Lonchura striata: one gene and its partner. The protein of the gene in region 1 purifies or fractionates together with the protein of each later gene. This does not show direct contact. Links are inferred from orthologs where the notes say so. Each region holds a gene or a part of one and is shown on either strand. Other genes may lie near its edges. The genes, in order: RNGTT and PPP4R3A.

The links.
Region 2: the proteins of RNGTT (region 1) and PPP4R3A purify together in Homo sapiens (affinity purification with mass spectrometry; 3 studies listed by BioGRID and IntAct, with this or other methods). This does not show direct contact. The link is inferred for Lonchura striata from reciprocal best matches to the Homo sapiens genes RNGTT and PPP4R3A.

Annotation. Positions count from the first base shown.
Region 1 is NC_134605.1:78,267,030-78,281,865, reverse strand, and holds the start of RNGTT (mRNA-capping enzyme), read right to left. Parts: upstream 6,662-14,836; 5' UTR 6,599-6,661; coding exon 6,535-6,598; intron 831-6,534; coding exon 721-830; intron 1-720.
Region 2 is NC_134608.1:16,525,695-16,541,397, forward strand, and holds the start of PPP4R3A (serine/threonine-protein phosphatase 4 regulatory subunit 3A), read left to right. Parts: upstream 1-8,068; 5' UTR 8,069-9,079; coding exon 9,080-9,221; intron 9,222-15,703. UniProt on the Homo sapiens protein: Regulatory subunit of serine/threonine-protein phosphatase 4. May regulate the activity of PPP4C at centrosomal microtubule organizing centers.

The DNA of each region.
Region 1 (14,836 bases):
GCATTGTCACAGTTTTGTTACAGCCCAGAACAACATGCAAACTGAAGCACACAGATAGAAATGGGCAAAACAGAAAATGAAATAGTGAGCCAGAACCACAAGTTTGTAGTGGTGGATGCCACAAGGTTTAATAAGGCAAAGTGCAGGGTCCTGTCACAGCAGCCCCAGGCAGTGCTACAGGCAGGAGGAGGAGTGACTTGAGAGCTGCTCAGCAGAAAGGGACACAGGGGTGCTGGTTTACAGCTGTCTCAGTATCAGCCAAAGCTGTGCTGCCCAAGTGGCCAAGAAGGCAAATGGTACCCAGCCTGTATCAGCAATGGTGTGCCCAGCAGGACCAGGGCAGTGATCATTCCCTGCACTCAGCACTGGTGCGCCCACATATCGAGTGCTGTGTTCAGTTCTGGGGCCCTCACTTTAAAAAAGACATTGAGGTGCTAAAGGGTGAACAGAGAAGAGCAACAAGGCTCATGAAGGGTCTCTTATGAGGAACAGCTGAGGGACCTGGGTTTGTTTAGTCTTGAGAATTCTAACCTGTAAGAAAACACTCAGAAATCCATTAGTTGCAGAGGAGACCTGGAAACATAAATGAACAAAAAATATTTCTGTACTGGTGTCCCAAACAAAGCCATCAACAACTTCTTCCTTAGATCTGAAAAGCAACACTTGAATAAATATTAATAATGACAACAATGTTTCAATTATTAGAAAATTTAACTTTACCTTCAGACTCTTTAAGTAGTTGGATAACATACTCGGGTGAAAACGATTTTCTTCAGCAACCTGTTCATCATATCTTGGTCCTAACATTGTCTTCAAAGGTAAAAACTTCCCTATGAAAGATAATAAAATTTTGCAGTATTTTATGCATACGTACTGTTACAACTTAGCCTTTCAAATCAACATGCTGAGTAGCTTTAGACATTCCCCTTCAAGAATTACAGTCAACAGTAAATTTGAATATTTTTTAGTTATGAGTTCTCAGAATTCACAAGTTAAGTTTAAAAGTTTAAGGGAAATACAGGTCAGTTCATCTAAAATGGAGTAATTTAACATTTTTTGCTAACTTTTAGTGTAATTAAAGTCGGGAGGGCTACAACACAACAGAGTATAGAAAATTTAAACTCAGTAGAGCTGAAAACATGAAAACAGCATTTTAAAATAACAGTTTGTCATCCAATCATGTAAACATCAGTTTTGATTACCTGCAAATATAACATACAGTAAGGATCCCTGCAAAAAAAAAAAAATAGGAACACTCTGTATAATCTCAAATAAGCATCTATCTTCCATGAAATAAACATTAGAAACCACAGAAGACAGACAGATGTGGAAACTATGAAGCTTTATGCAACTGGTTAGCTCAGGTTAGATGTTAGTGAGCAACATGAGAAACAGCCTCACTTTTCCCTTGAGATCATTCCAAAATTTACAGCTAAAAGGAGAGTTATTCTGTCATACAATCAACACTCATGTTAAATGGTAATAAATTATAATAATTTCAACTTTTTTGACTGTAAGAAAAATTTCCGTTTATTGCCCTTTGCCTTTTCATCTCAACAGTTACACACCCTCCACCCACCCTGGTAAAAGCTGTTGGGTTGGATACCTCCCCTCCATTTCCCCAGCTCTTCAACTACCTTTTTCTTTTTCAACTAATTTTCTTGCTTCTTTGTGTTCCTTGTCACCTCCAACACTATCATTCAGCCTCTCTCTGCTAGCCCTTCCACTTTACCTTGCAATATTCCTCTGTGCAGACTGATTACGCAAATCCTAAATTTACATGATCTATACTCAAAAATCTATCATCACCCTAATTTTTGAGAAACAACATCATGCTTGACAGTTTTTTGACTTTGCCACTTGTCACACCCATACTAACATATCTGCTCATTCATTATGGAACACAAAGAAGGTAACTAAGCTTTTTTAACCATGGCACTCAAGAACAGGAGCAGCACTGATGAAAGAGTCAATGGCTACATAAGAAAACCACCATCCTTTACAAGATGCTGGGAAAAGAGAAGAGTGCGAAAAGTGCCTAGAGGTTACAATTGTTTCCTGTAGCATCTGATATGAGACTGTGCGGTCGCACAGAAGACTCTCCCGTTCTCCATCTTCAGGAACAGAGAATGAACACATTCATTCTCTTCCTAGTAGCAAACCTTGATTTAGTGTCTGATTTCTTTTTGAGCAACCAAAATACATTCCTGTTCACTGACAGGAAAAGACAAAGTTGTCTAGTCAGCATCCCCTGCAGCATTTGAATGCCTACAGACAGCTGTGGAAGTGATGAATATTTCATATAGAGCCAATTTACTATGACTTTCAAAGCTGAAACACAGATATTTGGAAGTATTTAGGTGCTCAGCTTCTATAAATTCCAGTTTCTTCTTCTCTACCTGGAAAATCTGCTATTTGGTTTTTGTACAGATGCTTAAAAAAACTTCTTCCCCATGTGCATACAAGCTTCTCATAAAACATCATCAAGCTATTGAAAATCTGAGCTCTAATTCTAAAAATGTTTCTAAGCTTTTTGAGTAATATGGACAAGTATAAAGGAGGCAGTAGCTACGGTCTCTTCTACAGTTTTACCTTACATCTTGTGCTAAAGAAGTGATGCAGTAATACCTGATTGCAACTCAAGCTGCCTTGCATAACCTTTTGAAGATTAAAAACTCATTTGCTGAATTAGGAAATCCAACAGTAACAAAGTGATACTTTACATGAACATCAAAGCACCCCAAATCATTCAAGTACCTCAACTCCATTATGACAATAATTGTAACTCCTCAATAGAATTTCCAAATTAACTTCAAAATGTTACTGGAACCCTGACAACAGATTATTACCTACTTCGACAATTATGTTCAAATTTTTCAAATAGTTCTGGAAAATGGCTACTAAAAACTAATTTTCCAAATTAGTTACCTGTCTAACAGATGGTATTTCTTTAGGCTGAAAAACAGGTAAAAATTCTAAAAATAAGAGCCCAGTATATCAGAGCACAGACATCGAGTGGATAAATCTGAAGGAAATCAAAATAAACAATGTAAGGTATCACATTTTCTACATGTACATGCTCTAACTTTGTCACTTTTTTTACCTTCAAATATAATATATTATAGAGCATATATCCAGAGCATACCAGTGAAAAAATACTCTTAATTTAGCCTGATTTCCTGTGACATGAAGCTATCAACTCAAAACATGACATAAATAATTAAGTATGACCATGGTATGTTTAGATTGAGCATTGATTAGGAAGGCTAGACTGGGTAAAGTGTGAGGTTAAGGGAATAAAATTAAACAGTAAAATCCACCATTAAAAAAACCACAGTATTTCTACAAAGTTTTCTGATTCAAGAGAACTATGCTGGATCTAAGCATCCATTTCACCAAGTATGTCATCACCAACATAGACCAGTAACAGACAACTAGGAAAGAGAGTAAAATAATGCCAATGACAATCCATCATCCAGATTATTCTCCCCAACAACAAGCTATAGCTCAGAAACTTTCTGAACCAGAAACATTACTCTTATTTAAGGTGCTTTCTCATGTGCAATATGGATGCTTTCCATAATATCCCAGAGTTCTGCATGCTACATGTGTGTCTAGAACAGGATTTATTAATATGCATCAATAGAAGGAGGCTGGAAAACACTGCTGAGACACTTTTCATGCCTCTTCTTCTGTATCTTGCTAGCACTTTTCATGGCAAAATTGCCAAGAGAATGGGTTTTCAGTGGTCATGAAAAGCAGATACCTGCTGGGATGGTGCTGCCAAGGCAGTAAGGCTGAAGCAACCTGATCACTTCAGAGTTTAGCATTCAGAGGAAAGCTCCTTTCATCAAAATTACTGAAGTTCTACTACAATGCAATAAATGTGAAAATGTGCGATTCTGAGGATAAAACCAGAAAGTGGCACAAACTACCAATATTTAAAGAAGCGAATAATGGCAGACATAGATGAATTCACATTGTCCAGGATAAAGAGCCCTGTTAACCTGAATGAACCCAGTCTCACCAACAGGAGAGTTTCAGGACTCATTAGTACTTTTCTTGAGGTCATCTAGAAATCCTAGATGCCACAACTATGACACAAGAGCATCACAATCAAACACTCAATGAATACGAGTACACAGAAGCCATACTAAACTTTTTAGCAGCACTATTACTAATACACTATCAGATGGAAATAAAGTCGCACTCAGGTGCTTAGAAATCAGATTTAAACACTAATTAAAACTAGGATGTAACATCTGGGAGATAGTACCAACATCAATTAAACCCTAAAAATCCTCTCATGTAGAACTGCTAGATGTCTTTGAATGTAAAACAGCAAAAAAGGGAAGATCAGTGGCATACCTTTACTTTTGGTATATTGTTCACGCTAAAAAAAGTAAAAGGTGAATAAGAACACATCCTGATAAAGCACACAAAGAAATGAGCCAAGCACTTTCAGTTTTTTCACTTTGCATTAACTTCCTGTTCATGATTGCCTGGAATGGAAAATAATTACCTTGCAGTTCCTGAATATACACACACAAGCAGTGATGGCACAGCAGATGACACACTGATGACCCTCATTCATGCTTACTCTAGGTTGCTATTTCTGAGAAACCATGGCTCAAAAGACAAAAAAAAGCCACAACTAACAGAGATCAAGAACTTGCTGAGAAGAAGAGCACAGAATCATTAGTCTGTTTTTGTCATGGTCAAAGGCTTAGGCTATCAAATTTCTCTCATTAGATACAAAGTAATGTGTGCGGCCATGATCAGGAGAAAATGGACATGAGCATCCAACAACACTGTTATTTAACTGAGCCAAGTTCAGAGAAGTGTAAGGAACTTGATGGAAACCAGTAACCCATAAAATGAGCAACTGATGTTAAATACTGACAAATGCCAAATAATGCATATTGATGATTACTGAGGATTAAACCAACTGAAATGTCTCACCAGGTTCTAAATATTGTCATCAGTGTCTTCTATTCCACAACCAGCTGCCATCAAAAAATGTAAGATGACGTGGAAATGTGGGATAGAAAACACAAGAGTTGTACCTATTAAGCAAATCATGGCACAGTGCCAGTTTAAATAACACACTCTGTAGAACATGTCGTGTTTTGAAAAAATACCTTCACATCATCATAGAGAGGGATATGAAAGGAGTGAAAACTAGAAAAAAATGGCAAAAAAAAATAACTGTAGGCAGGAAGTGCTTGCATTATAAAGAAAAGAAGAACTTGAGAAAACTGAAAAGACACACTTGTTTACTTTATCTCACCAGGCAGCAGAGGAAACATTCACCTGAAGTCAGAATGATAGCTAACACACAATCAAAAACGCGTGTTTAGATGATAATGAATTCATTGCCATTATATGCCAGAAGACTTGCTACTGAGTAACAACCAAGACAGTGCATCATGGGCAAGAATATCCAAGAAGACAGCAACTACTAACAAACCCTGAAATACAAGTGTAACACTGGAGTGTTACACAGCTAAAGCACTCAGGAGCACATTGGTGACTGGAAGGGCACTATCAGTTAGCAGAATAACAAATTGACACAGGTAAGACTTCAGAGCATTCAGGAAAAAGAGACTCAAACATGGAAGAGGCTGCGCAGAGGACTGGTATCACAAAATTGGTCAGGGTGGAGGGGACCACAGAGGGTCATCTGGTCCAACCTCCCTGCTCAAGAAGAGTCATCCTACAGCATATTGCACAAGACTAAATCCAGATGGCTCTTGAATATCTCCAGTAAGGGAGACTCAATAATCTCTCAGGGCAATCTGTTCCAGTTCAGTCACCTGCACAGTAAAGCTCTTCCTCATGCTCAGGTAGAACTTCCTGTCCATCAGTTTCTACCCACTCCCTTTTGTCCTACTGCTCAGCACCACTGAGAGGAGCCTGGCTCCATCTTCCTGACCCCCCCACCCCTTTAGATATTTATACAAATTCATGAGATCCCTTCTCAGTCATCTCTTCTCGATGCTGAACAAGTTCAGTTCTCTTAGCTTTTTTCTCCTAAGAAAAATGCTCGAAGCCTCTCATCAACTTAGTAGCTCCAGTACGGCACCTTCTGCATGGCTGGCTGTCACGTCTCTCATCAGATGTGACAGACAGGAAAAGTTTCAGCCCGAAACTGAACCACTGCGAAGCGAGAGCTCCGCACTAAGGCCCCGGGGGGCAGGAGAGGGCCCGTACCCCCGCAGCTCTGGGTGAGGCGGGGCGAGTCCGTGTCAGACGGGGGCACAGCCCGGGGGGAGGGCGAGCCCGGCGCTGAAGGCAAAGCCCTGCTGCTGCCGCGGGCCGGGCTTTAAGGAGAACAGCCACCCAACGGGACTCGGGTCCGGGACAGACAGCGGCCTGGAGCTCGGGGTGGAGCAGCGCACAGCCGCAGCCCCGGGACAAAGAGGCGAGAGGCCGCGAGGAGGAGCGGGGCCGGCGGGCAGCGGCGCCGCAGCGGAGGGGCCGCGCCCGCCGCCGCCCCGCGGCCGGCACGGCCGGAGCGGGCCGGGCGCTCACCTGCCACGGGCTGGCCCCTCCTGGGGCAGTGGAGCCAGCGCGGCGGGATCTTGTTGTAGGACATGGCGGGGCCCGGGCGGCCCCGGGGGAGGGAGGGAGGCGGGGAGGGGGCGCGGGGCGGCCCCGGGGCGCTCAGCGGCCCCCGGCCCGCGGCGCCTCCATGGAGAGCCGGCCCGCCTCGGCCGCCGCCGCACACGGAGCGCCGGGAGCCGCTTCCGCTTCCGGGCCCCGCGGCCAGGGGCGGCGCCCGGCCGGGAGGAGGGCGGCTGAGCTGCGGCGCCTCGTTCCGCCCGGGCAGGGCAGCTGGCCGCCCGCTGCTGCAGGCTCCTCCTCTTGTGCAGAGAGGGGCCGCAGAGCTGGGGAAGGGGCTGGAGCGCGAGTTCTGTAAGAAGCGCCTGAGGGAGCTGGCGGCTCCGGGGGAACCGTATCGCTCTCTGCTGCTGACTGAGAGAAGGCTGCAGCCAGCTGGGGCTCGGCCTCTTCTCCCGGGCAACCAGCAGTAGAACAAGAGAACAGACCTAAGCTGCACCAGGGGAGGTTTACACCGGACATTAGGAGGAATTTCTTCACAAGGATGATTAGATATTGGGATGGGCTGCTCAGGGAGGTGTGAAGTCACCCTGGAGGTGTTTAAGGAAAGACTGGACGTGGCACTTGATGCCATAGTGTTTGGTCATAGGTTGGACTCAGTCTCGTAGGACTTTTACAGCCTAATCGGTTCTGTGATTCTCAGTGAGTCCCTCCGAGTCACTACAGGAAAGTAACAGGACCTGGGGGCAGCTGGGGGGATCATTTGTCCAGCCACAGGAGCAGTCAGCAAAGGCTGCTGCAAATGCAGAGTTTACACAGGTCTCAGGGAAGACTGAGCAGATGCTTCAAAGAGAGTGTAATCCATGGCTACTAAAGTAGCAGGCTGCATCAGGTTTGGGAAACAGCCTGACTTGAAAATAGCTGGAGGCTTGGGCAGACATAATTCCTCAGCTTTTACTTTTTGCCAGATGTTCTCTCACAGCCAGGAGTGGATGTGGAAGTGGGTAGATCCTCCTAGTAGTGCAGCATATTCTAATCAGGATGTAACAGACTTGCTAGTGTAGCAGAGATACCTCTGTCCTGAGCCTTCTCTTTTGTGAAAAAAGCACACCCAGAAAGATGGCATGCAGAGAGAAACAAAAACTTTGTTTCCATGCAGAATGCCAGTGAAAATTTTCCATCTGCTTTGTTACATGGATTCAGCTGAAGAATTGTAGCCCTGAAGTAATTGTCCATGTGAAGGAACATTTAAGGTGTGGCCTGACTTAACTCCTCTACCGACTAAACCCATACAGCCACTTACCCTCTCCGGCCTGTGGCAGGACTGGGGAGAGAATCAGAAGGGTGAAAGTGAGAAAGCTCAGAGGCTGAAATAAATGTAACGAAAATTAAGGAATTGAGTTTAGCCATTTCCAGGAAATCTGGGCTTCATCATTCACAACGGTGACATGGGAAGAAAAACACCAAATGTCCACTCTTTCTCCTGTTTTTTAATGCTGAGAATCATTACATACTGATTATTACATCACAGTATCATATGGTCTGGGATATCCCTTTGGTCAGTTGGGGTCAATTGTACCAGCTGTTCCAGATGTGTCCCCTGACAAATTCCTGTGCACCCCCAGCCTGCTGTCAGGGCAGCATGAGAAGCAGAAAATATCTCGATGCAGTGCAAGATCTATTCAGCATTAGCTAAAGCATCCCAATGTTCCCAATACTGTTTTGGTCACAAATGCAAAATGTAGCACCCTACAAGCTACTACAATGAAAATTAACTATCTCAGTGATGTCTGAAAGATGGGCTGGAAATAAATCCCCATAGACCGATGTTTATAGAGCAGGTATTGGTTTATTGCAGCACTGGTGGTGAGAGGGATGTCTCCACCTAACTCACCCACCCTTGTCTGTGCTGTAGTATAGTCATACAGTAAGTGTTGCTTAGTATCACTATGTCACTACAACATCATCATATATGTGGCAGAACTAATTTACATTGTTTGGTCTCATGGTTATTAGATCATACTTTTGGACTGCACTTGCACCTCCCCGGTTTGGGGGTCTTTGATGAAGGCTTCCAAGGTCTTCTTCACATCTGAACTTTTCAACTTTGTCTTCGGAGCATGCACAGTTACAGTGTTCCTTTGTCTGTCCGGTCTTAACAGACCTAAATTCTTTATTTTGTGGCTAATTGGCTTTGTACTTGCCAATTTTTCATTAGTATTATAATTATCCATATCTAAAACTATCCACCTGGTGAGTTTTTTCTTATTTTTTTTATCTATTCAGCATTAAGCTGAATAGACAAAAAATATATATAGTTAACCATATACTAGCCATTACATTGTATAAAAAGTTATGATTCAGGTTATATAGATATATAAAAAGTAATGACTTAGGTTATATTTATATCAGGTTATATAAATATATCAGGTTACATTTGTATATAAAAAAATCATGATTTAGCTTATATTTATCTCTTACAACTCAAGTTATATAAGCACCTTGTAATTGTGATCTTAGTTACATTGCCAAAAATCAGTACAGATGGCTTCAGTGAAGCATTAGGAAACAACAGCAATAGATTTTTTTTTTTTTTTACCTAATTTTCTAGTTATTTACATTTCAGTACTGTTCTGTCTGCACTTTTTGTTTTGCCATAAGCCAGGTGTGCTGCCTTTGCAAATCAGTAGGGGCCACAACTTGCAGAACTAACCAGAGCTGTGTGTACAGACTTAATAGGAAGCCCTTAGGTTCTGTGAATACATTGAAACAATGAAAATAATTTTATCCATCTAGCATTCATTACAAACTTTATTACACATTTTCCTCACACATTTTATAACTGGGTTTTATTAAACATAGTTTCTTCCCTAGAATATCCTCTCATAGTAATTCAGGTATTCAGCTAGGTAGTTTGCATAACTGAGTCATTAGGTTCTTGTACTATGTTAGAAGTTTCTGAATTTTGTCTTCTAAGGCTTTTGTCACCATCAGACACTAATCTTCTCATCCTAGCTAAAATTGAAGGTCTTGCTACAGCAAAAGACTAATCATATTATTTTCCCTAACTGCTAAATGCACTTCCATTATATTGTTACTTTATGCTGTTTGAAATCATTTCCTTTACAGAACAAACAAGCAAAAAGTCAGACACTAGGTGGTGGCAAAGACTGGCTGGAAAAGAAAATGAACCAAGTGCAAGGCATGCTCAGAAAAAGTGAGAAGCAAAGAGCAACAGCAAGATTGTATCTGATTTCAGTAAATTATGGGCAACTTGCAGTAATGTTAGCAGTATGGCAAAATCAGGAATGAAACCATTTGGAGAGGGGAAGATTAGTACAAAAAGATATTATGAATGAGCAGTAATAGATTCTCATCACCTAGATTTAAGTGTCTGATACACTTTTGATCAAGAGTTGCAGATCAGAAATATCATTATTTTTATATATAATATGTAGTTGAAATGGGAGAATATATTTTATTTAGCAATGCATAAGGCAAGTAATTGTTTACAGCTGATGTAACATGTAATATGCATATATATATATATACTTTGCCATATTAGACACCTTGCCACTATTTGCACAGGCATCTGGTGATGTTTGCATGTGACATCAAACACTCTGTGAACAGGCATGTCCTGCTTGCCTTTATACCAACAGTTAATCTGAGTCTTCTGGTGTACCAGCATGTCTTCCTGTGATGTTCTAAAGCTGACATGGCTGTGTCTGAACAAGGACTGTGAGGGTGGCTGTAGTGGTCATTTCAAAGATTGCTTTGAGAAAACAATGCAAAGTGTTAATAGTCAATTATATAATATTCCTCTTTACTGTATATCAATTTTCTTTTATCTTAGAGGTACATAGATGCTTGTGCACTTAATTCTGGTTTCTGCTCACCAGTTTTAATCCTTTTCCTGGCAGAGCAGACACTACAGTAAAGAAGTCATTTTCCCAGGATGCAGATCATTCTCTGTGCCATGGGTATCACTGCTTTGGTTTCAGCTCAACCATGTTGGTTTAGGTAGTGGGGAGCTGAGTTTTTTTTCTTTCTTGACTTTAAACCATTAAAAGTTTACATTCCACACAGGAATGACACACACACATTTTAACTCTTTTTCCTAATTACATACTGAACATTTACCCAAATTGTTGCTGATTAATAATTTCACACTTTTAATGTCATAAATTATGTAGCTACTTATAATATAAATGTAAGTTACCTGTTCTACAGAAAATTAATAAATTAGGTATTTCTCCTGACAGAACACATGGTGTTGCCCTCTTCTATAGTGACACAGGTCAATGACCCTGTTACTCTTATGCTTCAGTATGGCATTATTTTCCATGTGCTCATAAAAAAATAATGAAAGCAATAAGAACAACACCCCTTGGGATGCTCTATGAAACAGCCACTTCTGACTCTATCTAGTAAATGCATCTCTTGAAAAAAGAAACAAGCGAAAACCCCCAAACAAACAGATTAAATCTCAGCTAAACTGAGATTGCAAAAGAATTTAATTAAGAGAAAGTAACTGTGAAAGAAGCTAACTGTATGCAAACATGATTAATATTATATTATTTTTCCACTTTGTGGTGTAGGTGTTCACTTGGAAAGTGACAATGCAATAAGCTTACAAGTATATGGAACATAGAAAAATATGGTTTTTATTTACTAATTAAATTGATTTATTCCTTGCTTATTGGTTTTAATGTTCATAGCAAACTGACTTAGGGGTACAGTATTCCTTTATGACTGATTTCAGCATGCATGAATCTTGTGGGGATGGGTGAGTACTGCTGAATAAATATTTTAACTTTGTTACTGTAGCTGTATTTTATTCCAATAGTAATTACATTCTAATGCTATCATAAGAAAAAAAACCCTGAAAATAGTAAAATTAAAGCATAGTTTTAGATTTCAGCGGAAGTTAATATTATGGTTGCTTATGGTTATGTTCTCTAATACATATGTAAGCTTCTAAATTAAAAAATGTATGAGTATTCACTGACTCTTAAAAAGAAAATTCTAGGAATGTAACATTTTAAATTGACTCCTATTTGTTGAGTATCAACAAATGTTTAAGAACCTAACTTCTGAGACAAATTATGTTTTCAGGTTTGAAAATTAAAGTAAGACTTAAAAAGAAAGTTATTTTATTCCTTATGTGTACAATATGAAAAAGGGATGTTGAAACAAAGTTTTGAGTGCCATACTATATTTGAGAAAATAAAATGTCATTTACAGTGTTGTTTCTACAGAGAGCTTTGAGAGAAAGAAAGTCAGCAACAAAATTGCCAGTCTTTAGTCTTTGTGACATTAGGGGGCATCACAACCTCACAGACTGAGAAAGATGTAAGTTAAAATACAGTTACTTTTCCTGTCCAAAGTAAACAGGGAACCGCATAAAATAGCAAAATCAACTCCCAGAATCATTCTTTAGTGCAAGGTTATGATACAGTTCTTAATAAAATTTCAAACAGAAGCAATCCAGACATTCACTACACCTTCCTTTTTATAAGAGTAATAAAATTAACAGACTAATGGTTGCTATATATGCAGCCTTCTCAAGTTTATTTAAATCTTGAAGCTTCCTTTCAACTGAAGTCTCTATGGTATCACAGTGTTAGTTCAATCAGTGGAGTGAATCTCTGTATGGGCAGGGAGCACAGGGTAAAACTGGGGCAAAGCTGCTTTAAATCTGGGTCCCTGGACTGGGTATTATGTTTGGGGTAATCACCATAGCTGTATGCAAACATTAGTAATATAATATTATTTTTCCACTTTGTGGTGTAGGTATTCACTTGGAAAGTGAATCAAATCAGTCTACAACACCAAACGTGTGTGCTGCACTGATGACATGTAAATCTCACACTGCAAGGAACATTAGCAGTCTTAGACAAGACATGCAGACATGGCAGATTATTTACCTAATAGATGATTTACTTTGTAGATGATTTACTCTGTAGATGATTTACTCAGTAGATGATTTACTCAGCAGATCTATCCAGGAAGAAGGTGTCTGTCCAGAGGGTTGGTGTGCTTGAAGAGGGACAAGAGCTGTGACTTCATGCACTGATTTGCAGGCCTGAAAAATAAGATGCTTTGCTATTGATCCTGTTCAGCTGAACTGATAGTGTGTTTGATGTATCAGAGATAAGAAGCTGGACAACAAGCTTATAAACAAGGCACCTGTCATTCCTGGAAGGCTAACGCTGGTCTCCCTAGTGTTCTTAAAGTTTGTCCTAGACAACTGAGGCCTTACTTGCATCAGCTCTGAGGGATGATTTTCAGTGGAAATCCACAATGTAAAAAATATCCACATGTAACATTGAAGAATATGTGTTCTACTGCATAAAATGAATCATATGGTAGTAGGGTGCTTTGAGTATGGATGAAGTAATCAAACAATTAATATGTCACAATGGAAAATGACTAGTAGTAGGGCAAAGTATGACATGATATATGAGAAACTCATCTAATTTAATTAAGTGGAAAGTATGACTCATAGTCTTTGGAGCTGGGCTGGGGAGTGACTGGATTCCACAAAGTACAGCAGTGTTCTGATGCTATACTTTCTAGTTTCTCTACTGCCTGAATATGGACACCTTAGTAAAAAGCTTGCCCTGACTGGAGGCTGTGGTTAAAACTAATGGAGTAACTGCAGTCCTGGCTAGTGAAAGAGGCAGACCAGGGCAGAAATAGCTGTCAGAGAGCTATCACTTCTCTACAGCCTGAAATAGCAAAGAGAGTGGCAGTGTTTCAGCTTATAAACCTGCATACATGATGATTAAGATCTGGGTTATTATACTGGCAGAAATCTTTCTCATGCAATCAGTCACACAAATAAAGGTTATTACCCATAGGCACTCTCTAAGATTTTCTGCATCATAATTTTGTACCTATAGATATATATGCTATGATTTTGTATGTGAATATATAGCCTGTGAAGAATAATACATCTAGGAGCTATAATAAAGTACCTGAGAAAATACATACAGACCTGATTTTATTTATAAGACCTCATTATACAAAATATGTGTATCATACTGTACAAAAATAAATTATGACCAGAGTCTCTCTTTTGAGGTGCCTGAAGTTCTAAAAATACCCCAAGAAACTGGCCAAAGGCAAAGGAAGGGAATACAGACTAAAGCAGAGAGATCAGCCTGACAGCCCCACAGACTTTTTAAAAATCAAATCTGAATATATATGTTCAATGCAAATTAAGTTATGGTAATGTATGAGTATGGTTATATATATAATCAGATGCTCAAATGTTGCTCTTGTGAGGTTAGTTTCACTTTCTGTTGGTATGCATTGTAGAACAAGCTGTACAAGAACACATGCTACTCTTTCCCAAAAAAAGCCTCATTCCAAAATAGAGAGAGGGATGTGTATCCTACATCTGCAGCACCACTGATCTAGAGAACTTTAGGAATAAACTAGTAAATGTAATTTTAAATGATGATTTTGAATAGGTTGTAAATTCTTGTCATCCAAGCATTCCTTAGAGAAATGGAAAAAAGAATTATGTTTGGAATATGTCTGTAACTTCCTGTGCTTGTTTCACATTCTCACCACTTTAGGTTTCACAGAGCAATGAATTTTATGATGGACATGATGAAATAGACTTGGCCTCAGAGAACACAGTGCCTGCGGTCCATTGCTGTTCATACAGCTACAGTTGGAGTCAATGCCACATCTTTCCACTGCTGGCTTTACCTACTGCAACTAGGTTAAGATTAATGAAAAAAAACCTTATCATCCTTATCCTCAAACCTTCATCAGTGTGGAAAATGTCCTTGTCCAGATGGACTTTAGGGAATTACTCGGAGAGGATAAGTTCCTCCAGAAAGGGAAGAAGGGAAGAAAATTACTCTGTACTGGCCTGAAATGAATTTCTGAGATCTCTGAGTAGTTTAAAGTTTTGGGTTTGCAATCTGTACATTCTGAAAGAGTTCAGGCTGTTACTGGAAAAGGTTAACACTTCTTCAAAAAAGTCACTTTGTGAAGTGTCTAGATCAGCTACAGCTTCTCAAAAATCCCCTTTGGGATAAAAATCATCACATGTCCTTGTACTTTCTGGGAGTTAGATCTGCTTAAATTATTTTAATATTGTATTTTTTAACATAATTGGAACTTTGTCAGAGATATACTGTATCACACATTCTAGGCTTTCCAAACCTCAGTGAAAGACTTATCAGTCTGTGTGAATTTAGGCCTGACCAATGTTCTCTAACACAGAGAATTAGAAAAACATGCCAGCGTG
Region 2 (15,703 bases), on another chromosome or scaffold:
AAGTTTTTGTTTTATTTTGTGAAATGTGTGCATTTGAGTTTAAACGTCTATAAAATTGTGCAATTTGTCATGTGCTTAAAATGCAATTGATTAACAAAACTTACATCTCCTATTAAATTAATATTTCTGATTTTCCCTCATACTGTTACGTTTCTCATGTCCATGCCTTCATCAGAGTTTGTGGCTACAGTGGATTCTCTATACTGTTATTTTGCAGTATTCTTTCTCCTTTGCCAGTCCTCATGCCTACAAAGAAGCTGTACTGAACTAAATGACAAGCTTGTGTGCTGGAATCACCAAAAAGCCACTTCCTGGGAAAACTGAGAACAATATTTGCAATATGAAAAAGAAAAGTACCACACATGGGATAAACCAGAGGCTGATACATGCCAATTGATAGGAGAAGGTTTTCAAGGCAAGTATAAATCAGGAAAGAGAAGGATAGGAAAAGAAACTCTGAAAATGTATTTGACTTGAAGGGGAACCAAGTTGTGCTGGACCTTGAAAGCACAGAGATTAGTCCTATAGCAGGGAACATGGTACAGCAGAGATTTTGATAGCTATGAGCAGGATGGCAGGTGAGAACACAACCAACCTTAGCACAATTCATCTGGGTGTGCTGAAAGGAATTGGGAGGAACATGGTAGAGATATAAAGAGGGTATGAGTATGAGTAAAGGAGGGAGATGAACTTGATTGGATCCATGGTTTCCTCGGTGAGGTCAGGAAAGGGATTTAGGGCTGGTCCATGTCATATATAAAAGGTAACAGGAAAGTATAAATCATAATCCCCATGATTTGGGATTATGAGAAATGAGAAGCACAGAGGAAAGCAGGAAGGGATCAAGGTTTCAGCTTTACTGACTGGAATTAGTCTTGTTTTCTTTTATCTCTAGTTGCCCCAGAATCCTCTCATGGCTGCAAAGGACTAAGATCTTTAGGTGATAAAGGCTCTATGGTGGCTGTATCAGGGGACTCAACAAATGCCAGCTGGCAATTCTGTTGTCCCCATACAAGTACATTAAATTGAATGGCTATATTATACCACATATCTGAAATTATAGGACATCAGGGACCCTCAAAGATCTATCTACCAGAGAACAGGTGTTTACAAGATTTTTTTATGCAGAAGATTTCAGAAAATTTAAAGAATTCTCACCATACTCTTGTAAGTCAGTATTAAACACAAATAAAGACAGAACTGTGATATATTCGTACAGATTATATGTTCTCTCTTTATTATTTTCTCAGGTTCTGTCACTAATGAAAGCCATAAACATCACAAATAAATCCTGAATGTTAATTAATTTAGATAATTGTTAATGAATATTTAATATCTATAATTCTAATAATATAATAGCTAATTTCTATAACTGACAAGCTGCAGTGATGATTAATGAAATGGTATATACTTACACTGTCTTTGGTAGTAATGTCCAAGTGTTGGTCTAGTTGTATTTATTTAGGACTATTCATTCTCCCTGTGGTTTTAGCCCTATTGTCCTGCACCAGCCAGTGCACAGCAGAGCTGTGTCACTGCCATCACCCCACACTTCAACACCCTGGGGTGTGAAAGATGCCAGACCCCCTTTGCACCTCACTGTTCCAGACCCTCCTGGCACACACGCCATTCCCAACCTTCTTCCTCCTGCACATCCGCTGATAATCCCCACATGCCTCTAATGCCTTTGCCCATTAGTCACAGAAGTGTCTGACTTGAGAGCTCTGCTTCGAGGCCACCTATGCTGTGCAACAGACACTTGTAGTAGATTAGTACATTGGACTACCAAGTTTGATTTCAGCATCAATGTTTCCTTGCAGCAGAGCCTTCCATCACTTTCTTCAATGAGCTATGAGAAAAGAATCATTGTTCTTGTTTTGACCATCCCACCTACTTGCTGCTCCTCAGTTCTCATTTTGGAGGGGACATTAAACAACTGAACTTTGCTGACTTTATTCATCTTACAGATGTTTGCCAAATCCTGTCTCGAGTGTGGACCCAAATCCTATCGCTGGTGTCAACCAGAAGAGAGGTAACATACATGGGAAAAGAGGAGGCCAAGGCTGAGTGTAGAATCAGAAGAATTTCTATGTTGCTACTGAGCAAACCCATTCCACAACAATTTAGGTTGTTTTTCTAGGTAACAATAATACCAAAATCTCCAGTTTTGCATTTGGTCTACTTAGCTTTGCTTTTAGCTATAGAAGGGTTGCAAAGTGAGGACAGTGCACATTTTCCTCCCTAAATGCTTGGCCTGTTATTGCAGAGCTCATCTACAGAGCCTGGTGTCAGGTTCTCCCCTCTGCTTTGTTGGCTTCAAATGCAAAATGAAAGACACTAGAACCAGCTAAGATAATTAGTAAAATAATCTCTCGGATAATTGGATGTGCTCTCAATCTATTTATATTACTTACTTGCAACTTGCACCACAATCATTCCTATTCTGTGCAAGTCTTGAATTATTTGCATCTCTAAGACTATCATTGTCACAAACAGTGAAATGACTCATAAAATTTTATTTTAAAATTGGAAAACCAAACATATTTAAATTGCTGTCAGTACAATGGCTGATTCTAAATTACTGTCTTCAAAAAACTTACCTGCCTCCTGGTTTTTTCATGTTTCTGACATATTTTTACATTTATTACACTTTATTACATACAGATACATTGTCACTTTCACTAGCTTTTGTCCAGGAACCTGATCCTAAATTTACACAGGTCTAGTCCAGTCATCCCAGATGACTGCTCCAATTGAAGTACCAAGCTGCTGAGACACTGTGTGTGTAAGGATGAGTGTCCACCTACCTGTGTCCATGTGCCGCTGTCTTGTTCTGGCTCTGACAATGTGCCTTCTCCATCCCTTTTGGCTTTTCTCCCTTTTTACTCTCAATCCACCTATGTAGTTCTTATTTACACAAACTGGAAACAGCTTCAACAGTTTCCACACTCACCTCAGCATGTGCCTAAGGTAATGAGGAATTTATTTAAGTGAGAGTTTTGCAGCTGATAGTAATTTTTAGGTGATTAGGTAGAGATATAATAGAAAAATTGAAGTAATTTTTACCCTTCTGAGTTTCTGATGGATTTTCAAAACTTCCTGGAAACAAAGTTATGATGTGGATCTCATGCTTCCTGTGTCTCTGTCCATCACTTTCTCAAAAGACCAACAAATGTATGGGGCTAAGGGAAGCCTGTTGTAGTCTGAGCTATGGATGAAGTACTGGAAACCTTATTTAAAAAAATACTTGGGAGCAAAAATTAGGAATAGGAACTCTGCCATAGAAAAAGAAAAAAAAAATTCAGAACTCTTACTGAAATGTTACAAACACAGTCAACAGGCAAAATAATACATGCAAAAACATAAATATGTACTGCATAGGGACAGCCAGCACAATTCAGATGTCTTGGAGTTCCCCTTGCAGAAGGAGGGGAATTTTCACTGCTGGATGAATAAATGATGCAGACACGTTCTCTGTGTCAGCAGTGCTTTGAAATTCTTCAGTCTGATGATAATGAGGCCTACATATTTAGATAAAGAGTAGCATTTTCAGAGAAGCATACAGGAATTCAAAACAAATACAGACTTTGCATGACTGTGCAGTTGCAGAGAACTCCTGAAAGAAAGCTTTGCTTGGAAGACAAGGGTCTTTTCAGTACTGTGAAAATTAAGATGACAATAGGAGGTTGAAAGAAAAGAGATGACATTTTTGTTAAGGAGATTCATTATGTAGGAGGAAGAGTCCCAGATTCTTAACTGCTGGCCTTCACAGATTCATCTTTGTGGTTCAGGTACAAGAACAGAATTACTGCTTCTCAGGATCTGTGGCAGGATGTGAAAGTTGAGTGGCAGCATCTGAGATATGATTCAGAGGGTGTGGCTGCAAAAGAGTGCATGCTGCAGGAATCTGAGATTTTGGAGTGTGACAGATGGATGTGCAAAAAAATAAAGCTCCTCAGAGCAGTCCTTTCAGATCCATTTCAATGTCTTAAAATTTGTTAACCATGAGGACACCAGAATTATAGAATGTGGCATTAAAGCTACTTTTATTCCTGATGTTACATTCTTCCACAGTGTGCTAGTTTACAATCTGTCCAAAAAGCATATTATAGGATCTTACAGACCCAGAGCAGTATCAGAAGTTTGTGTTTGGTTGCTTGTTTATTATGCAGCCTTGCTTCTTTCAGAGCTGCCTTACTATTTATTCCCATAGATGTGACCCTGTGTTTGGCTGTATCCGAAAGGTCCTGTTAGGACCACAGCCTGACTGCCTGAGCTGCTTATCCATCAGGTCTTGAACAATCACTATTTACAGCTCAAAATTTTATGTGAAAGTGTCATTGCTTGCCTTAAATTACTGGGAGGCACTGATGAGCTCACAAACATTTGTAAAGCTGGAATAAGCCGGAAACAGCTGTCAGTAACCTTCCCAGCTGTCCCAGGCTAGGATATTCTTTCTACATCAGCACCTTCAGGAAGTGAAGCTTTCTGTTTCTGACCCTTATAGCCTCATCCATTTCTTGCCATTCTTCCAGGCTCTCTGAGTCATACACAGCTTTTATGCACAGAGATTTTACATTGACTTTCCAAACATTAAAAGAAATCCTAACTACCATCAGTCCTGCTCTTGATTTCTCACAATCATCTAGGATCATCTCCACAGATCAATAATTCCTTTTGAGCTATACCAGTCACCTCAAATGTGACCCATGCAATGTGAGCTTTCTTCACAGAATACAATTTTAACTTTCCAGAAAAATACCTGAGAACTATCCATGTATATCTGCTCCATTACGCTTATGAGCAACATTGTAATTTAACAATAAATTAAATTTTTCTTGCTAAAGCCACATCAGCTGCTACTGCTATAAGCCCATCTTTATTGCATTCTGTGTGAGCATTTATTGTCTGTGACTGATGTCAGATAAATCAGCCTACTATTACCTGGGTTCTCACTTGTTCAGTTTGAATACTAATAGTCAGTCTTCATGTCTTCCAGAATTTCTGCAATAATTTAAGCTTTATTAAAAGTTAATAATGTTTCATACTTCCTGAGATCACACACACAAGCCTCTTTAGGACTCTCAAATTCAAGTTTTTTAGGACTTGTATACTTGAATAAGTTTCTCTCTAAGAGAAATTGTTTAATATCCCTCTAAATAATGACTAGGAAAGAACTTAGTCATCATTGTATGATACAAATATATTGCACATTCTTTCAAGTATAAAATTTATTTATTAAACAATTCCATTTTTTTGGTAGCAATATCAACATTTTTAAAATCTTGATATAACAGGCCTATAAGAGTGTTAAGATTTAGGAAACATGAGCTGTTCCTAAAACTACCAACCATGCAAATTTATTGAAATCCTTATCCATTTTTTCTGTGCTTCATAACTTGTAATGATTGCTAGGTTTGCTTTTTGTCTACTGTATGTATTTATTTTAAACTGCTTTGTTTTCTTCCCCACTAAACTAGAAATATATTTTTTCTGAATCTCCCCTCTTCTTGATCACAATATTCTGACTCCTGTACAGACATCTTCTTTATAGCCTCCCCCTATTATGATAATTTTTCCATTTAATTTTTTCTTTGCACTCAGTCATTCATTTTCCACAGGTTTTTGGGGCACAAGTCAGAATACATGCCTTGGGAACAAGAAGACATAGAGAGTGTCTGCGTGTGTGTAGTATGGATTGTAACCTTGTTTGCACATACTGAGTATAGCCAGATCTATATACTCAAGCAAGTACAGACTTTCATTCTAGCAATAATCTTCACCATAATAAAGTATATAATAATAAAGTATGAATTATACTTTATTTATACTCTATTTATACATAATAAAGTATGAAGTTGTTAGTTTCCCTAACATTTTTTTTTCTTTTAGAAAATAGTTAGCTAAGAGTTTTAGGAACTCTAATAATGCCTTAGTATATAGAACCAAATTTATATGTGTGACCTGAAGTTATTCACAATAACAATGCAATTTTCTTTCCCAAAATTATTACTAGACACTGAAAAAAAAAGTTATCTTGTTCTTTATTCTTGACTGCTGTGCAAGAATATGGTAATCCCATATTTACTATGGTAAACCCAGTTTAGGCTTATTCCTATTGCATTGATCTATGTATAGTTACTTTCCTAGGAATATGAAAGTTTAAAACAGTATTCAACATTCCATTTCATCATTTATTACTTGGTTCCTGATGGGCAAAAGTTTCTGTCAGGGCTAGGTCCTTTATTATTTCTGGGAACTAAAAAGGTTAAACATTTAAACTCAGTGTTAATAACAGCCTCTCCTCATGCCTGAAGATATTTCCTTCTAGACACAAACTTTCAAACGAGTAGAAATGGAGAGAAGGCATTGAGGTGTGACCTGACAGACTTGCTTTCAAACTCATTATTCCAAGAAAAATAAACAGAATGTTTCTTTCTTTCCCAGCTAATTTCCAGCATGGGAAGTTGCTCTCAATGCCCAACCTTTTTTTCTGGAATGACTGGGGTAGAAATGTTAGGAAAAATAAAACTCCCTTGCCAAATATAATGAGAACTGGGTTAAAACCTGACAAGTAGGCACTATTGTCGGATCGAGCATTGTTCAGTTGTTCAAGATAACTCAAGGCCCATTAAAAGAAGCTGAGCCCAAAATTTGCATTAAGCAAACCATGCAAACTGAAATCTGATTAAGTTCTTGTTTTCAATTCACAAAAAAACAAAAAATTAAAAAAAAAAACTGCAGTGAGCAGTGCGGTCTTTACTTAATCTGATGGCCACAAGAGGGTACAATTTGTAAATGGTACGTTAATATAACAGTCCTACAAGAGTTTTCTCTAAGTGACATCAATCTTTTCTGAAGTCACAAAAATCCATCTCCAGGTTGGCCTGAGGGAGATTTTGGCACAGCACCTGCCCAGATACAGCTCCTTGAGAGCTGCCCAGGAACAGCCCCTCAGGAGCTGCCCAGGCCTGTGCGCGTGCTGTGCGGTGCTCCCCTTCAGCCAGGCCCACAAGCCACAGCTCCCGGACACCTGAATCTCTTCAAACCTGTCGCTGCTTTGGCCAAGAACACCGCGCTGAGAACAAGCACAGCGCGCCTTCAGCGATGTCCTTAGGCACCCAAACAACCCTCTCAAAGGTTCTTGTATTCTTAACCAGCCCTTGGGCATCAGAGCAAAGGCCAAATGGCTGTGTCTGGGCACTTCAGGAACCACAGAATATTCTGATTTGGAAGGGACCCATCAGGATCATCAAATCCAAGTCCTGGCCCTGCACAGGCCACCCCAAGAGCCACAGCATGTGCCTGAGAGCATTGTCCAACGCTCAAGCTCTGCCAGGCTGCTGCTGTGACCCTGGGATCTTGCTCAGGAAGCTGCCTATCAATCCTGCTGGCATTGTCTTTCAACAGGCCAAGCAAAATAGAAGATGGACAAAGGAAAACAGGACTTGACTAGAGGATTCCTTGTGATACATAATTAATCCTGGTGAAAGCTGCAAATGTGTTGTTTGGGCTCAAACCACCCTCAATACAACTCACTTTGATAAACGAGTATCAGGACTTACTCAAAGGCATAAAATAATAGAGTACATATTGCAGTGAGCTCCCATGTACAGTGACTATCTATAAGGTAGTGTGAAATGGACTCTTCTGCAGTGGCGCTGCCGGGTCCCAAATGCACCAGCGTTTTCACATATTTTAGGGAAATCTGTCAAACATATGCTCAGATATTGGCAGCAGCCGTCAAGCCTCGACAGCTTCTGATATTGGAATTCTTTTATCCCATCTATGACTGCGGAGATCCAACAGATATTCACCAAAAGCCGTTTAACTTTGGGATCACTCGGCAAGATGTGACAGGAGAGAAAAAAAAAAAAAAAAAAAAAAAAAAAAAAAAAAAAAAAAAAAAAAAGTCTAAGAAAACGTCAACTCCGGGGCCCGCCGCGCCAGCCCCGGACCCGCGGTAACGGCGCTGCCACGGCCGCATGCGCGTCCTCCGCGCGGGGCCGCTGGCCCTTTAAATGCCGGCGGGCGGCCCGTGCTGCCGCTGGCTGGGAGACCCCGCGCCTCCAGTGAGAGGTGAAACCAAGATGGCGGCCGCGCACTGACTGAGGCGGAGCCGGAGGGAGCCGGGCCGCACCAGCCGCTGCCGATCGCCCCCTCCCTCCGCAGGGCACAGCGTTTCTCTGCTGGCCGGGCCGCCGAACGCCTGGAAGCGCAGCCACATCTCAAGGCGCGCTGGGGAGTCGGGACTGAGCCGCCGCAGCACCAGGAGGAGGAGGAGGAGGAGGAAGAAGAACATGGCGGCGGAGTCAGGCTGGGAGTGAAGCCGCCGCCTGCGACCGGAGCCCATGGGGAAGACGGGGCGCTGAGCTCGGCTGGCCGTTCACCCTGTCCCCGGACGGGCAGTGTCCGCAGGCCCGGGCAGCCCGGGCGGGAAGGAGGGCGGCTCCTTGGAGCCCCGCGCTGACGGACGGCGAGCGAGGGGCTTCGGGCCTGGGCTGCTGCTGCACAATAGAGCCGGGCTACAGGCCGGGGCGAGCGGCCCCGCTCCCGGCTGCGTCCCTTCCTCTGATTCCCTCCGGCCTCACCAGCTTCCCCCCTGTTTTCCTCGGCAGGGCTCCGGCTTCCAGGAGCGCCTGCTCCTGTCACGCTGGGCCGGCTGCAGCCCGCCGCCGCTTCCACTACCGTGGATCCCCTTCTCCTCCGGAGTCCCTCCTTCGCCGCCTCTCCTGCCTGCCCTTCGCCCTGCAAAGAGCCTCTCTCCTCTCTGCGGCTCTCCCTGCCTAGGTTTACTCGCCTTTTGTGCAGCGCCTGACTGTACCTGAAGGAGCAGCTCCCCTTTTCACATCTTCACCTCTTGTTTCTCCCTCTTCCCCAATCCTCTTGTTACCCTCGATAATGAGGATCCCGTTGGGGCACTGAAGAGGAGTAAGAAGAGCTTGCTTGGCGTGCCCGTGTGGGGCTGCTGCCTTCTTTTCCGCTCGCCTCCCCTGAGGGGGGCCTGGCCCCCGAGCAGCCTTGTGCTCCTCCAGCGGTTGCCAGCCAGAGTGGTGGCTGCGGTGCGGCAGGCGGCAGGATGACGGACACCCGGCGGAGGGTGAAGGTGTACACGCTAAATGAGGACCGCCAGTGGGATGATCGAGGCACGGGGCATGTGTCCTCTTGCTACGTGGAGAGGCTCAAGGGCATGTCCCTGCTAGTCAGGGCAGAGAGTGATGGTAAGTGTACGGCTGAAGGTACAGTCTTTCCTCGTCCTGCCCAGGAAAGGAACTGGGTGTAGCTTTGTGTTTGTAGCGTTAATGTTTTGCTGCATAATTCAAATGGTATTCCTAAAAGCAGGCAGGCACTAACCAGGGTTCATTCGTGCTAGGCCAAGTGAAAGAAACAGGAGATTGCCATCAAGTGTAAGCATAGTAGGCACTTAGTGCGTACACAGTGTTGCATGCAAAATGCGTTCGAGTCTCCTTGTAAATCTTGCATGGGTTTGGATATCTACTGGTCTGGTTTCAAAACTGATCCCTGGATCTTGCTGGAAGTGATCCTCTCATGAAAGTTGTTCAAAACTTAGATCTTGGGTTTTAGTATTTGTTTTTAAAAGATCGTTGGATGGCTAATACCCTTTTGTGTCCACTTGCCCTTTTGGTAGCTTTTAGAATTATGTAAGACATTCTAACAGCTATCAACGGTTTTCAAAGTACAGTTATGGTAGTAAAGGCAATACAAGGGGCAGAACAGCATTTTCAGTGATGCCTTTTTTTTTTTTTTTAATGGGATGGGAGTACTCAGTCCTTCAGCAATTGGTTTCTGGTAGCATATGTCAGGAGTATATGTTAAGAGTAATATAGCCCTGTAGCTACATGTTTGGGCTAGTCTTGACTATTGGTTAAGTGAGTTCATGACTGCTGTGATCAGAGATTTAGAATGTGTACTTCACAGTATCAGCCTTGTACCGTTTTGCTTTTGAAGTCTGTCAATGCATGACTTACTACTTCATTAGATGTATAGCTACTGTATTTAGTGACATGTAGATCTAGTTATGCTTTTGACTGTCAACAGACCTTGTAATTTTATTTATTAAGCTTTTTTATTGTAGGAAGTCGGATGAGAAGCAACTTGAGAATCATTAATCCTTACTTTTTGGGAAAGTTCTGATAAACTGTACAATATGTAATGCTTACAGCAAAGATCATAAACTGATATGGAAAAATCAGTCATCTAAGCAGGATTTTGATAATTGGGTGTCTGATAAGCTCTCGGATCTCACAGATTTTTGATTATACTTTAACAGGTTACACTGGCACCTGATTTTTATTTATTTTACAGCAAGGAAGATACATTTAAATCTTGAGCAGCTTCATATAGCAAGAGAAAGCATTCAAAATGGAAATAAATTTAATTTAATTTCAACATGTGGAGGGAATTAAAAAATTTATCACTAATTTTCTTTGCTAATTTTTACAGTATGTGTTGTTGTAGATACTGTCCTGGCTGTTGGGGACATGTTTAAAAACTGTTCTCTCCTATATATTAAAAATTTTCTGTTTTTTAAAAAAAATTTTAAAAATTCTTTTTTAGAAAAGAAATCGAAAGACCTGCAGCTCCTAACCTCCTTGTAAAGAAATAGCTAATTTGAACTAAAATCCATTTATTAACTTTTAGTGGGATATGTGTGCTTCAGTCTCATTAAAACCTGAGTTGCACTGTTGGTGCCAGCTCTCTTGTAAATAAATGAGCATCTGTAAGAGGGAAGATACAGACTGGTACTAAAAACTAAAATTAAGTCATTGCTTTAGCTGGCATAGCTAAGATACTCTAATCAAAGCAGGAAATGTCTCAAACTTACTAATTGCACCAAATACACAGATATTTATTTGGTAGGATATACACTTTAGACCTCTCTCTACTGCATACTTTCTACTTCAAAGTATTGAATAATACAGTTAAAATTCTTTATATAGTAGGTAATATCAGTCCTGAGTAAATGTCCACTCTAGTAATAGGCTAGCTTTTCTAACTTGCTTGTGTAGACACCTCATAAAATTTGATTTATATTTTGTTTACTCCCACTGTTGTTTGTGGGCTAATTTTGAAGGCAGATAGTCATTTCTACATGTGAGCAAATTATTTGGAAAAAGGTAATGCCATACCTGTGCTTTACATAGTGTGCAATTTGTGTTTCCTTGCATGCTTTTTTAACTAAATGCAATAGTTGATTGTGATTTTTAACTTTTTCCCAGTTAACCAAGACATAAAAGTAGTATGAACTGAGTAGTAGAAACTGACCTATACACCATTTGTCACCATGTTGCCATTGCATTCTTGTATTGTCTTTCTTTGTCAGCTCCTCCTCTTTCCACAATGAAATTTCTTCCTTCCTGCATTTCTAAACCAGCTTTTCCTAGCCTTTGAGCTGAGATTCATCCTGTGCACACTGGCATATTCTTACTGATTTACTCCAGGAAGCTGACAGAAAACCTCGGGATCTGCCTGAAGGTGAAGGCTCCATTTCCTGAGCAGTTTCCTTATGTGTGTGGGAAATTCCCACTCCTGTTAAAGGGCCAGTTTGGCTATGCACAGATCAACAGCAGAATTGCCAGTGGTTTCTTTGGCTGACCATGTGGGCTAGCACGTGGTTCAGTCTTTGGATTTTGCAGCTGTGACTTGGTGTAGTAGGCTGCTTTACAAGTGGTTGAGATTTTATTGCATAGTCAGGCTGTTCAGATAAGGGAAGTACAATCAGTGTGCCACATCCAATGTAAGCTGTCCTTTGGAATTGGAGGAATAAGAACTGAGTAAAAGGAGTTTTTATCTGTAGCAGTGATTTTTTTAAACTTGTGTGTGCTGGTGCTTAACACAATCATAAAAGAAAATCATTTAGAGTAGATGAGTGAGTTGTGTTGTTAGCTGCATGTCTAATGTTGCCAGGCACTAAACTGTTAAGAGTCATTGCAGACAATCTGGAATAATCAATTTTAGAACAGAAATACCATAAACTGCTTTCATATCAGGTATGTTATGCTTTGAAGCATGAAATTGTAATTTTTTTTTTACACTATAATAGGTATTCACTTTTTATTTAAAACCCTGAAAAGTTTCTCTGTGTGATTCCTAGTTGTAATGTATCCTACTTGAATTGTAGCAGAGCAAGTGTGAAATATTTTCTTACAAATTATCACCTACCGTGTGAGTCTGTGTGTAATCAAAAGCCTTTGATTTCTTACTCATTTCTGACATGGTATTTTAGCCTACTGTGGCCAGCCTTATTCTTAAAGTGTCTGTGCTTCTTGGGGTTTACTGGATGGTTTCAGATCACCTTGTTTTTGTTCTGAGCCCAGATGTCTGAAGTGACAGTTTCTGTTCAAGTAATTTTTGTTAATTTGAAAGCTTAAACCTTTTATTAAAACTTACTTGTCCTGTATCTAAAGTTTTTGACAAGTGAAAGTTAACCCCTCCACTGCAGGCCATATTTGTGAGCTCCCTTTTAGGAACTCTCATCATTTTCATTCAGAAGTTGTAGTTTGCTGCTTCTGAAGTGTGTATGTTAATGACTTCTGCCACAGGGCAAGCACCTATCCTTGCTGTTTCTGTAGTGCAGGTATCAGTAAACCTGTACAACTGGCAGGCTTAGACAAAACTTGGCTTAATTTTTTTTTACCTTGTTCAAACTAAAGCGACTGATTTTATTGCCTTTTTTTTTAGGTAAGCAACACAGTATTTATCTTGTATCAAAGTGGGAAAAAGCTTGGGGGAAGATGACTTGGGGTTTTTTTTGTTTCTTTTCTCCTGGTTCTCCCCTTTCCTTAATATTTGGGTTTGGCCCTCCAGAAGTGTCTTAGACTCAGGAATATTCTCTTGAATTTGTAGAACACTTTCTCGGGCCTCAATTTCTTGAGTTTGAGGATTAGTTTCTGTGATTGGGTTGCAGCAGAACTAATTGCAGAACTTAAACCTCTGTGTGCATCTTGCAAGAAACAGCTCTTGAATTGAAACTTTCGTTTAAATGTAAACATGTTTATAGTGGTATGGGGTAATGAGCAGCACTTTTTCTTTTCTGCTTTTGAGGAAGACTCCATGTAACAGTTTTGGTGGGAGAGCAGCAGTGTGCCAGATTAACTGGTCTCTTCCATATGCATATTTGTAAACAAAGCTGCAAATTTCCTGTTCAAGACTGTTGAATTGGGATATTTGATGTCTCCAAATATAATTGAAAATAGCATCAAATATCTCTTTTTTAATATGTAATTTCTTTTGAGCAAGTCTTTCCCTATACCCACATTGCTTCTGCATCACAGAATGATGTTTTCTACTAACAAAACTCCCAGCTGTGCTGTTCTGCATTACAGTGACAGGTAATAGAACTCTGCAAGTCAGTTTTCTTTTTTATAGGTGGTTTCAGATATTATTTTTTTGCTCCAGTGTTTTTCAGTTACCTTTACAAATTTGTTAAAGGGTGTAATTTAAAAAAATAATTAGATATGCATAATTTTGGAGCATTTGCTTAAAACATAGCCTGCATTAAAGTGAGTTTTCAGCTCTTACCTAACTTTGAATGGTGTCATTGGGTCAATGAAGATGAAATTTTGTTGGTGTATTTTTATGAAGTAAACTAGATAGTCTTAAGATTTTCTAGGATACCTCCAGTGAAAAAATACCTACATAGAAAGTAATGCTTCTGACAAAAGCATCTCAAGTGATAATGACTTTGAATGCAGGTTTATTTGTGGTGCGTTATGTTTCTGTAACCTTTTTTCTAAAGAATACATCTGTGTTTCAGATGTCTGTTACTGCTGCCTGGTTTCCACATGCAAGTAACAAAGACCTAACATTAGCTCATACCAGGAAGGGGCCTGATCCTGTAAAATTTAGTATAGAAAATAAACTCACTGAACTAACCTAGTAGATTAGCCACTGATATTTGACTTGTTGAATCATTTTTGGAGAACTTATTGCACAGAGGGAGCATCATATTTTCCAGAAGGATAGATTTGGGGCAGGTATTAATTCTAGAGCACAATTTACCTTTCAGTATGTTTCTATCTCCAGATCAATATTTTTCTTGTTATTGTCCAAAATGGTGAGGAATAAGTTGAATCATGTGGTAGTGAGAAACAACTCAAGCCTTAAAAAGCTTGATTTGTCTTTCCTGCAAGCATCAAGTTTTGTAGAGAAGAAGAAATGCTCTTTTTTGATAAGTCTAGTAAAGAAGTCATTCTCTGTTGTCTGCTTCTAGCATGGAAGATTAAGTGTCTGCATTCAATTGTTTTCAATTTTTTTAAATAGTATTTTGTCAAACATGACATTTAAGTTATGTATGATATTCTTCTAATGTTGAGATTTACATGTCCGTAGGTCTGTGTTCAGCCATTAAAATATGATGTTGAAATTATCAACTACTTTTGATTCCTAGAAGATTTTAGTTCATACTTGCTGATATTAAATATTTCTAGACAGTAAAGACTTTCTAGAAGTTTGTCTGCCAATTTTTTTACACAAATAATATTTTAAATCTTTATGTAGTAGAAGCTGGGACTTGGAAAGCATGACTGACTCTGCGTATCTGATGATTGTAAAAAGGAAATGCTCAGTTTAGGTGTAATTTAGGCATAGTCTAAATTCAAAGTTTGAGACAATGGCCAAAGGATGAGCAATGGATTGGATTCATCTGTAAACCTCATCTTAGATGTTTTCCTTCTCTGTCCTGCTCTATGGTTTTTGATTTATTTTTTTTTTTTTCTTTAGTTATGCACTTACTCTTAAGCAAATAAGCTGCTTTGGTAACAGAGCTGATGTGTGTCAGAAAACTGAAAAAAAACTCAAAAAAACCTGAATAGTATATTTGGGCTTGAGGCAAGAGAGCTTTTTCTGTGTGTCGTGTTTTCCCTTGAGTGGTATTTATTTCAGTTTTGTTGTTGAATTTTATTGAGTTTGTAAACAGCTTTTACTCCAAGAGCAGTTGAGACAGGGTGATAACTTCTCAAGCCAACTTCATTAGTGAAAGCTGCCTCCTGTAGAGCAAAAGACTTAGAAATTGGGAACTAGCAGCTTTCACAGGTACATTAATTTGAAAAAAATACTTAATTGTATTTGATGATCACATACATAGTAAGCTAGTGGATATAAAATTCATTGGTAAAGCTTCTAAATTCATCAAGTAGTAACCTTTCTTATCAGGCAGAATGTTCTGATATTCTGTAATTCTTTAATGATACACCACTCTTACAGCAAATGAAGTTCTGTGATCTGGTTCTTCAGTCTCTTGCCTCACATCCCCCAACCTAACATCTTAATCAGTATCAGACAGGGGGATCGAGTGCACCCTCAGCAGTTTTGCAGGTGGCACCAAGCTGCAGTGGTGTGGTTGGCATGCCTGAGGGACCAGATTCCATCTGCGTGGACCTGCACAAGGCCGAGAAGGGGGCCCTTGGGAACCTCAGGACGTGCCAGGTGCTGCACCTGGGTCAGGGCAGCCCCTGGTACCAGTCCAGGCTAGGGAATGAGCAGATGGAGAGCAGCCCAGATTTTTGTAATACATTTGCCTTAGAACTATAGTGATGAAACTGAGAAGTTAACACTTTACATAAAGTTTGGACATATCTTAAAGCCTAAATTTAACCAGATAAGTAAATGGAGAAATGCCCCTTAAAGGGATATTTGCAGCTTTAAGTTTTACTTATATGATTAACAATGCAAGTTAATTTAT